Linked DNA regions of Mus musculus. The protein of the gene in region 1 interacts with the protein of each later gene in a biochemical or structural test. Links are inferred from orthologs where the notes say so. Each region holds a gene or a part of one and is shown on either strand. Other genes may lie near its edges.

What was found. The genes of interacting proteins can lie anywhere in the genome.
Region 2: the proteins of Magi2 (region 1) and Adrb1 interact in a test that uses a peptide from one of them, tested with the Homo sapiens proteins (4 studies listed by IntAct, with this or other methods). The link is inferred for Mus musculus from reciprocal best matches to the Homo sapiens genes MAGI2 and ADRB1.

What each region holds. Positions count from the first base shown.
Region 1 is NC_000071.6:19,224,600-19,230,268, reverse strand, and holds the start of Magi2 (membrane-associated guanylate kinase, WW and PDZ domain-containing protein 2), read right to left. Parts: upstream 3,224-5,669; 5' UTR 2,981-3,223; coding exon 2,680-2,980; intron 1-2,679. UniProt on the Homo sapiens protein: Seems to act as a scaffold molecule at synaptic junctions by assembling neurotransmitter receptors and cell adhesion proteins. Plays a role in nerve growth factor (NGF)-induced recruitment of RAPGEF2 to late endosomes and neurite outgrowth.
Region 2 is NC_000085.6:56,719,910-56,725,282, forward strand, and holds Adrb1 (beta-1 adrenergic receptor), read left to right. Parts: upstream 1-2,207; 5' UTR 2,208-2,462; coding exon 2,463-3,863; 3' UTR 3,864-5,241; downstream 5,242-5,373. UniProt on the Homo sapiens protein: Beta-adrenergic receptors mediate the catecholamine-induced activation of adenylate cyclase through the action of G proteins. This receptor binds epinephrine and norepinephrine with approximately equal affinity.

The DNA of each region.
Region 1 (5,669 bases):
TCTGCCAATTTTCACTTACTCATAATTATAAATAAATAAATAAATCTAATCACCACTGATAAAAGATCAATTTTATAAGAGAATATATAGGAATCACTACATTTAAATAAACATATACGATTATAGATTTTAAAAAGCTAAAATAGATTAATTAATTAATCTATTTATATCTATTTTAATTCTGTAGATGAATGTCTATATTTGGATACCTGGAGACTGACAGACTAAGGGTTAACATATACTGTGAAAAGATTTTCACCTAAATATTTCAGTCCATAATAATAAGTGTCCTGAATCTGAACAGCTTTATTCTTCCAAACAAAATACAAGCAAGAAGCTGATTGATCAGGATGAATTTTAGCTAAAATCAAGGCTGGGCAGGGATCACCCTCTGTAGATCTTTCTGCTTCTTTGTCAAGGTCCAGTAGGGAAACCTCATCTTACAACATCACTCCCAGCTCTGTTCTGCTAGAAATTATGCTTCCCCAAGGGAAAGACTTCCCAAATTTGCCCTAGCTTTATTATGAGCATTATCACAGAATAGGCCAGAAAATCCCATTTCTTATCTCAGATTCTCAATTTGCACAACTTTTATGCCTTCAGTTTTCCAATGTCTCTCTGGATTTCTTTTAGTAAATTGCTAATACTAGATAATATTTTCTTTTAATTATTTATTTTATTAATACTCATAAACACTTATTGTTTACGAGTATTAAAGTTTGCCAACATCTACCTCAACATGTAGGCATCAGAATAAAATGATCAGCGGGAACCACAGTAGAATATAATCACTGTGGAAATGTATTAACGTGGGCTTGTGAGGCTGATCTCAGGAAAAGTGTCTCAGCAAGCCTAATTTCCCTCTCTCACCCACAGAGCAGTAGGGGAGAAATGATTTTCAAGGGCTGTTTTCTGATTTCCATATCACACAGTGGGCATATCCATTCACCCATCCATAAACCATCAACCCCTAAACAAACAGATATTTTAAAAGCATTAACTTTTGCAGTTGTTTTCCTTTGCAAACACCAATATTTTTTACCACCAAATAACGGTATTGGTCAATTGTAGTAAACTGAACCCTAGCCTTGAACTTCACATTTGTTATCTATTGCTATTATGTAGTATCGTAACCTAAAATGTAGCAACACAATTTTCTGAATTTGAGTTCAAAGTATGTCACTTTGGAAAATGCTAGGATAGTAAACCCTCTTCTTCAGGGTCATATAATACTGCATGTCTATATTAGATCATCTAAAATGACATACGATGGATACTCAATAAATCCCACTGAAGATGTTTTCTTCCTTGACAGCTTAGCTTTAGAGAAGTTTATGAACCTTTATTCTCTCTTGTTTACTTCGGAACTTTTCTTTTTACATGTTAATTTTATTCTGAAAAAAACAACTGCTCTATATAGTATTTCTTCATAATGGATCACAGCATGAAGAGCAATTCTGATACAGTAATACTCAGAATTTCAACACTGGCGCAAGACAAATAACAATAGATAACAAACTGTCATACCATGCTGGTATGTTTGAGACAGATCTGTCCTGTCCACCTGTGCCACCCAAGAAACTGCATTACCACCAGAGGAAAACAAAGGCACGCTACATTTGTACAATAAAGTCTTTTCTAATGAAAGTTTTCTCTCAGGACCACAATTTTATTTCAAGCAAAGACATTTTTTCAGCAAGATTCCAATCTCTCTAAATTAACTTCACAGCCTAGAAGAGACTTGACAGAAGCCAAGTTAGAACACAGGGAGCCTGGGCTGTTGACCAGCTTGCATCTCCATCCACCTCTATGCCACAAACACGCCCCCATGTCTGGAGCTAGAGGAGAGTCCAACCACAGAGAAATCCTAGTCAATAAGAAAATTCCAGTCAATGAAGAATACTTAGGGGAACCCTTGTAATGCCGCAGTCTGCCTCCCCTTCCACATTAGAAAGCTCTCCCAGCTCCCCGCTTCTTAATCTCTGCCCCTCCTCCTGCCTGCTGGCCAGGGGCGATCTCTAGGGTTAGTCAGTCTGCACGTGACTCACGGTGCCCACATGACATGACCATGGGCGGGGGAGAAAGACCGAGGAGTGAAGCAGGGAAAAAGTTACTGAACACTACCGGTCAAAGCGTCCAAACCAATTTGTCCCTTTCCTTCCTCTCCCGTCAGTGATCCCTAGGGAACCGCTACGGACCAAGGTGTCTCCAGACTAGTTTTGGATATCCTGCAAGGGGTCTCCACTTGCCCCAATATTCAGAGCTTCTCCCATTCTCTCTAGCGACAGCTCTGCACCTCAAGTTGCTCCATCTTCCTTTCTTCCTCCTCCCTTGCTTTCCTCCTTCCCCGAAAGCTCTGTGTCCACTGTGGACATGCCATTGGCGCACATTCTATTTGGCCTAAAGCTCAGAGGAGGTCAGACAAGGCCAAGCATCTTCCAAAGGGGAGGGTCCAACTGGGCAAACTAAGTTGCCTGCTACAGTACCACCTGGCTTAGCCGGCCAGCCAGCCCCCCAGTCCCGGTCCCCCTAATGCTCCGAACACAGTTACCGTGCTCTCTGGACCCCACCCCGCGGTGGCGCAGCATACACCCATCCAACACCCGCGCCCACCCTGTTAATGCCATCCCCACGCCGGGGTCCCACCGCCAGGCAGAGCACCGAACAAGCTGCGCTCACCTTGCTTGACACACTTGAGCCGGAGGGGGTCCTTGCAGTGTTTGATCACGGCCAGAACGTCCCTGATGGTGAGCCCCGCCACGGGGGTCTCGTTCACCTCCAGCAGCAGCTCCTCGGACACCAACTTGCTGCCGCTTTCATAGGCCACCTTGCCCGGCTTCACCTCCCCCAGGTAGGGGAACTGTCCGTTTTCCGCGCCCCCCTTCAGTTCAAAGCCCAGCTGGCCCTCCGGGTTCCTGCCAATGACACTCTCGTGGACTTTGCTAGTCCAGTGGCTTTTCTTTTTCAAGCTTTTGGACATGGCAGTAGGGTGAGTCGCCTCAGTTCCAGAGGGTCCTTTGGGAAGGAGGGTCTGGGAGTCAAAATCGGGATGGAGGAGCAAGGGGGCCAAGGGAAGAGGGTGGCAGACTTTGCCTTTCTCTCCCTCTGCTCCGCGCTTTCCCTCTTCTTTGGATGGAGTGTGGCGGAGGAAGGGGGAGGATGAGAGGGACGGCTGGGCAGAGGTAGGAGAGCTTGGGTGAGGTTGTGCTGTCCCTTGAATGACACTCAAGGCTTTGGCCCCGCAGCGGAGGAAGCTGTGGTGGCGTTGGCGGCGTTAGCGGCGGTGGCGGCGGCCGAGCCAGCGCGAGCAGTGGCCGAGCTGGTGAGCGGGTGGCGTGGGGGTGGGGAGGAGGGTAGGGATGCCGGGGGCCACTCCTGCGTGCTGCGAGTGGGGAGCGCGCGCGCGCTCGCCGGCCTCTGTGTTGTTAGCCGATATCCATGGCAGCTGCAGTGGCAGCGGTAGGGAGCGCGTGTGTGTGCGCGTGTGCGCGTGTGTGCCTGTGTACTAGTTGTACTGTACTGGCAGGATGCAAGCGGGCGGCGGGGAGGGGGGAGCGTTGGGGGATGCGAGCCGAGGGAGGAGGCGCGCGCACCGAGTGGAGCGCCAGGGAGGGCTTCGCCGCCGTCTCCCTCCCTCCGCGGCTTGACCCGGTAGTGAAGGCGCTGGGAGAGGCAGGCCCCGGGCCGCCCTGCAGCCTGCGGGAGGAGGCGGGAGCCGGGAAGGAGGGGAGCGGAGGCCCGACATGGGCAGGCCGGTGAAGAGAGCCGGGATCCCTGGGTGGACCTGTCTTCAGCTTCCCTGTGAGCCGGGCTGCTAGCCTGCAGGACGCCCCGACTTGCCCACACCCCAACACTGGACAAAGCAGAAATCCGGGGAACCCGATGCCGAGCCTGGTGGCCCATCTACAGCACAGTCTTCTGGGGCTCCATCCTGCCACAAGGAAGCTGGAGTTCGGGGTCCCAGCATGGAACTGCAGAGGGCCTGGCAGGCGGAGCCCGTGGAGAGACTTCACTATTGGCTCGCTCCACTTTTTACAGTCTTTCATTCCTCGCAAAGTTCTCAGAAGTGCCCCTCCGATAGAGGAAAGTTAGAGGAAGGAGTCTGGTCGTCCTGGATGCAAGAATAAGGTGAAATAACATCTGCAGAGCAGGGCCATGTGTCCTCTTGGAAGAAACTGAAGAGGATTGAGTGGAGACAGGATAGAGGAGGGCACCTGCCCTAGTTGAAGAGTGGAGAGGGGCGGTGGGGTAGGTGTTAGGGAGATAAATGGAGTAAGAGCCTAGACATATAAATGGTGAGTGTAACCTGGACAGGAGTCAAGTTTTAGGTTAATCAGACAAACAAGTCTGCTACAGGAAAGAAAAGAAGGCTCTTGGTGGAGCGCTGTACCCCCATCTAGCTCCTTCCCCTTCTCCAAATTTAGAGCCAGGTGGAAAGCTAAGCAGGACACAGGGGGCTGAGGGCTGCTGACTTCTCCAGTCAAACCCTGAGTGGTGCTTTTTGAGTTTCCGTAGCTTACATTCCATTTGCTTAACTTTGAAATAATATGTTTCAGGCAAAAAGAAAAAAAAAAAAAGGAACCACTCACCCACTCATCTTTGTAAATCAGAGTATGGGAAGGAATTATCAGCAGTTAAGAGCTTTGATGTCTGGGATGTAGTGTGGGAGGAAAGCAAGGCGGTTCAAAAGGCTTAGCTGACCCAGACAGAAAAGAGGGGGTGTGTATCCTGGCTCTGGGGCTTTTCAGGAGTGCCACGTTTAGCAGGCTGTTCCACCTTTCTCTGGTTGTTTCCTTTTAAATAGGGGTAACAGTACTAGTGGGGCCTGGTGCACTGAGAAGACAGACAGGCAAGGCAGGGAAGGGACTGCCCCATACAGGTTTGTTGGCTTTGAACAGTAGGTTCTTCCTCTTCAGCCCCACCCCCACATCGTGGAGAGGACAGCAAATTAGGTCAGAGCTGAAGATCTTTACAAAGGATGAATTTGCTTGACTTTGTGCCTTTTTCCATTTGAGAAAAGTTGGCTATGACTGGTGAGGACTACCCAGTCCTTGGCCTTAAGGAATGCTCCTGAGCCAGCAAGATTTCCATTGAAAGGCCAGTCTCATGAAAAGTTAGGCTGAGGATTATAAAGCACCATTCTAAGTGGAAAGTGATAGAGGCAGTGAAGAACAGAATTTGCATTTGTTTAACAGCAGTTACAAATTACCTCCAATGTGTCCGCTGTTATTCTAATTGTTTATCACGTATTATGGTTATATTATATAGTTTATATACTTTACAGGTGAGGAAAGGAAGGCACAGAGATAGATTGGACAGAGATTTATTTGTTTTATGTCTTACAAAGTTATGCACCTAACCAATGTGACAATAATTTTATGCATTCAGACCCTTGCAGGTTGTCGTCACACCTGTATGTAGTCACTGTCTTGAGCTACTCCCTCTAACCCATATTACTTAGCACATGTCATAGTAGGACTCAGTATAGTGTGACCATGGTTTTAGGCCTGTTCCTTTTGTGGGACAGAAGAAAAACAGGGAAGCAGCTGCTTTCCCTAGGAGGCTCACTCATACCATTCTTAAGCTGGCAGAGCCACAGAGCTCTCTGTCTGCTCCTAGACCACCCTATATTGACTTGTATGCAGCTATTGGAATCAGAATCTCTAAAC
Region 2 (5,373 bases), on another chromosome or scaffold:
AGCATCTGGGATCCTCTCTATGAAGCCCTGCTAGAAAAGCCTCCTGGTTTTTGAATGCTTACTTGAATGTATTTATTCCACAGAAATGCAGAGAAACTTGATGTAACACCAAGTCATCAAGGGGAAAGGTCACAAAATCCAGAATGGTGGTCCTGCCGCCTGGTGTGTTCATACATATAAATAGCACAAGGTTACCAGCCTCGGCTCCTGACTCCAATCTCTACAGCTCAGTTCTGGCCTTATCATCCCAAGAAACCCCATGCCCTGGGGACACGAGGTCGATACACTGCACCCCAATAGCACCACTTAGCAGAAAGCCTCTTTCCACATTTCCCCACACCCCAGCACTCAGAGGCCCTTTCTTGGTCAGCTCACTTCAAAACATGGGCGTTTTTCAGATTGTCCCTTGAGTCCTTTCAGCCATCCCCTAAAAGCCACAGGAAGGAGAGACCCTGGCTTGAAGAGGCTGGGGTGACTATGGGTGCCAACTCCTTCTGCCCTCGGTGTAGTTCCTGTTCCCTGATTCTCAAAACTCCCCAACTTGGCAGAACTTGGTAAGTCCAGGGCAGGGGTGAATAAACAGATCACTCCCCCGTGGTAACACTCTCAGTGGTCAAGCCTGATCCTAGGGCACATCCACGGGTTTGACTTTATGAAGAGTACGGCTGTGGATGGACAGCTGTGAGCCTGTGTCTTTTGGCAAGGTGAGAGTACCAGCTTGGCCACATGTTGATGTTCCTCCCAGATGCTAATCTTTTTATTCCAATGCAAGAAGGACTCGGGAGCATTACATAACATTATATAACACTACCGTGCACCCTTCCCTTCTGAGACAATTGGGAACTGTTCGCTTCTCAAGAACTTAATTACAGATTTCCTTTTTACGGCCTGAGGTAGAGGCATTCCCAGGGGTAGATCAGAGGACCTCAGCCCGAGGTCCCATCCTCTGTTCGCATCAGGAATGAAGCCAAAGACTCTAGTTTCGGATTCTCTCGACAATGTGAAGCGAGGAAATGTGGTATGACTTTAAATGCTTTCAGATTTAATCGCCTTGAGTATGTATATATTTTCTTCCCTCATCTTCCCAAAGCTAATCCCACAGTTTTGAGAATCTAGCCACCCTCCCAAGAAATCTGAAATCCCAGTTCATGACGTCAACCCAAAAGGGATAGCACCTTGTGTTGGCTCAGCTCAGATTGCAAAATCCCATGGGTAACGGAGCACAGATGCGGATGTTAAGGTGTTGGTACTGGAGTCAAAAAGTCTGAAGCGTCATTCTCCGTGTTCTTTCCACGAGGGGCGTGGGGGTGGGGCGACGTCATTTACCCTGGACTGAATGTTGCCCTAAACTTCTCCTTTATATTCAGAACTCTTTCATCCTTTTCTTTAGCTGGGACTGGGGCCTGTGTGTGTATCCGACTGGTCCTCGGTGTTGGCAGTTACATCCACAAACCTTCCCTTCCTTTCCCCATCTACTGCACTTGAAGGAGAGAGCACAGCTCCGCGCGAGAACAGCGCCCAGAGAGCCTTTCTGACAGATGCGTACCCTGCTCCAGCAACCCGCCTGGCTGCAAAGTTTCCTCTAATCACTAACACCCACTTCCTATTCCCCCAAGCTGTCATGCTGGCCAGGTCCCCTCGCGATCAGGGAAGAGCCAGGCTGCCTGATGGCAGAACCCCAGTCTCACAGCTAAATTCCTCCAATCCCAGCAGATAGGCTGTCCAAGGCACTCCTGCGTCTCCGAGACGCCTGTAAGGTTCTCTTATAGCTACCAGGAACCGGGCACTAGAGGCGAGGGAACTACGGGGTGCCGAAGGGAAATAAGGGCGCTCTTGCGGGAGCGGCAAAAGGAGAGCTGGGTGCTAAGGTTAACGGAGACTACTGGTTGGCGGGGGGCACAGGAGGCGGCGGGGCGCCGCAGGGGGCGCCGCAGACTAGACTCTGGAAGAAGCCTGAGCAGGAAAGGGCGCGCTCGCTGCAGCCCGTGGGTGCTGGCTGCGTAGTCCGCCCGCAATCTTTGGAGCCTTTCAATCGCGGGTAGGAGGGGGTGCTGGGTGTTGGGGGTGGGGGCACCATTGTCGGGGGCGTGCCTTGGCGGCGATTGGCTGCGGGAGCCTGACGCGCGGCCCCGGGGGCTGGCTGGGGGGGTGGCAGCGAAGGGGGGGGGGGAGGTGCTGGGTGTTGGAGCCGCCGGCCCCGCGCGCTCAGAAACATGCTGAGGTCCCGGCGGCTCTTCCAGCAGCGACAGCGGCTCCAGCAGCAGCGGCGGCGGCGGCGGCGGAGACAGCGCTCGGCTACGGAGGAGAAGGCGCCCGGCGTCCATGCCTCCGGCCCCGAGCCGCGGCTGCCCTGACCTGGCCGCGACCTCCCCGCGCGGGCCCCGCAGCCCCGGCTCCTGGGGTGCTCCCCAGGCGCGGCCCAGCCCCGCCACACCCCCCGCCCCCGGCCTCCGCAGCTCGGCATGGGCGCGGGGGCGCTCGCCCTGGGCGCCTCCGAACCCTGCAACCTGTCGTCCGCCGCGCCGCTGCCCGACGGTGCGGCCACCGCGGCGCGGCTGCTGGTGCTCGCGTCGCCTCCCGCCTCGCTGCTGCCTCCAGCCAGCGAGGGCTCAGCGCCGCTGTCGCAGCAGTGGACCGCGGGTATGGGCCTACTGCTGGCGCTCATCGTTCTGCTCATCGTGGTGGGTAACGTGCTGGTGATCGTGGCCATCGCCAAGACCCCGCGGCTGCAGACGCTCACCAACCTCTTCATCATGTCCCTGGCCAGCGCTGATCTGGTCATGGGATTGCTGGTGGTGCCTTTCGGGGCCACCATCGTGGTGTGGGGCCGCTGGGAGTACGGCTCCTTCTTCTGCGAGCTCTGGACTTCGGTAGATGTGCTGTGTGTGACGGCCAGCATTGAGACCCTGTGTGTCATCGCCCTGGACCGCTACCTCGCCATCACGTCGCCCTTTCGCTACCAGAGTTTGCTGACGCGCGCGCGAGCGCGGGCCCTCGTGTGCACAGTGTGGGCCATCTCGGCGTTGGTGTCCTTCCTGCCCATCCTCATGCACTGGTGGCGGGCCGAGAGCGACGAAGCGCGCCGCTGCTACAACGACCCCAAGTGCTGCGATTTCGTCACCAACAGGGCCTACGCCATCGCCTCGTCCGTCGTCTCCTTCTACGTGCCCCTGTGCATCATGGCCTTCGTGTACCTGCGGGTGTTCCGCGAGGCCCAAAAACAGGTAAAGAAGATCGACAGCTGCGAGCGCCGCTTCCTCGGCGGCCCAGCCCGGCCGCCCTCGCCTGAGCCCTCGCCGTCACCTGGGCCACCGCGCCCCGCAGACTCGCTGGCCAACGGGCGCTCCAGCAAGCGGCGGCCGTCGCGCCTCGTGGCTCTGCGCGAGCAGAAGGCGCTCAAGACACTGGGCATCATCATGGGTGTGTTCACGCTCTGCTGGCTGCCCTTCTTCCTGGCCAACGTGGTGAAGGCTTTCCACCGCGACCTGGTGCCGGATCGCCTCTTCGTCTTCTTCAACTGGCTGGGCTACGCCAACTCGGCCTTCAACCCCATCATCTACTGCCGCAGCCCCGACTTCCGCAAGGCTTTCCAGCGCCTGCTCTGCTGCGCGCGCCGGGCCGCCTGCAGACGCCGCGCAGCCCACGGGGACCGGCCGCGCGCCTCCGGCTGCCTGGCGAGAGCTGGGCCGCCGCCGTCCCCCGGAGCTCCCTCGGACGACGACGACGACGACGCCGGGACCACCCCACCGGCGCGCCTGCTGGAGCCCTGGACCGGCTGCAACGGCGGGACAACCACTGTGGACAGCGATTCGAGCCTGGACGAGCCGGGGCGCCAGGGCTTCTCCTCGGAGTCCAAGGTGTAGAGAGCCAGGCTCTCTGGGCGCACGGACGCCGCTCCCCATAGTCCCGGGCTGGACACGGGCTCTGCATCCCTAGAGGAAGAGAGCCCGCCTGGGCGCCCCTGAGCCGCTCCCCAGGGGAGAGAGGAGATCTCTGTTTACTCAAGACCGAAAGCAGGTGAATGCAAAGCCCACAGATCTATCGAATCATCCGAGACGTACAGAAAAGCCCCGGACCGAGCGTTTGCGCAAAAAGGAAAGTTTAGGAGGAGTTGGGAGAGTGTGGCTTAGTATGGCTTACTGGCTTGTCTTGAGTTCCTTTCTCTCTGAGGTTCGGCCTTTCGTGTGTTTAATGCACCTTCAGGCATTCCCCCCCCCCCCCGCCCCTAGGTGGGTTTTGACACTTTCTGCAAGGACCCGAGTGGAAACTAGGCGGGGAGGGGAGGGGGCAGGATGGAGTCTATCACCTGGCTTTCCGGTTCCACACCTAGGAACCTAAGTATTCAGCTCAGGTTTGGTGTGGGGGCGGGGCCGGTGATAATTAGCCAGGAAGTGTTTCCCTTTGCTTTCTAAAGAAATTGCATACTAATTCCGGAGTACTGGTGTCTCCTGTTCTTAAAGCAAAGGGAAAAGAAGGATGCGAAACAGACAAATCTGGTTTCGAGAAACTATGTGTGGAGCACGGTTCACCTTGCTTTCTCCTAGAGGGCAAACCTTGTGCCCTGCGCGCCTCGGTGGTCCTGCTGTGGGTCCTCTACCTCACTCTGTGCATATTGCACAGCAAGATAGAAAGACTTGTTTATATTAAACAGCTTATTTATGTATCAATACTAGTTGGAAGGACCAGGCGCTGAGTCTCTCTCTGTGACATGTGACTCTGTCAACTAAAGATAGGACAGAACAAAAAGGAAACAGTTGAGATTATTGCACATGTGGCTAAAAACAAAGACGGCAAAAAAAAAAAAAAAAGGCAGTGGTTGGAAGGCCATTTTGCACAGTGTTAGGCATTGTAAAATTCATAGAAGTTGTTAACTTGCACAAAAAAAATTAAATATTTTTACTGGGATGGGGAGGTGGGCAGATCTTTAAAAAGCTAAAATAAAATTCAAACTCAGTTTCTCTTGTCTATTATGTTATTGAGTTGATGGTTTATTGGGAAGTTACTTTTTATACTCTTATCATGGTACTGTAACTGTATCCATATTATAAATATTATTCTCTTACGTATTTTTATTATTATTTTTTAATGTCCAAGTGCCCCCGTGAATCTGCTGGTAAAATTTAGCACTCGTGTGTATATTCTATCTCTTCTTGTGTGTGTGACCAAGTATTTATACTCTGGTGCAACTAACTACCGTGTGGGAATTGGTCCATGTGCAATAAAGACAGCAGTGCAGCTCAATCGAGGTTCCGTGCCGTGTGTCTGTAAGGGGGTCCGCGATGACAAGAGAGACTTGAGTGTTTGCTTCAAAATACAGACTGGCTGCCTTTTTAATATCTCTTCATGACTCAATCACAGAGCAAAGTGCCTCTA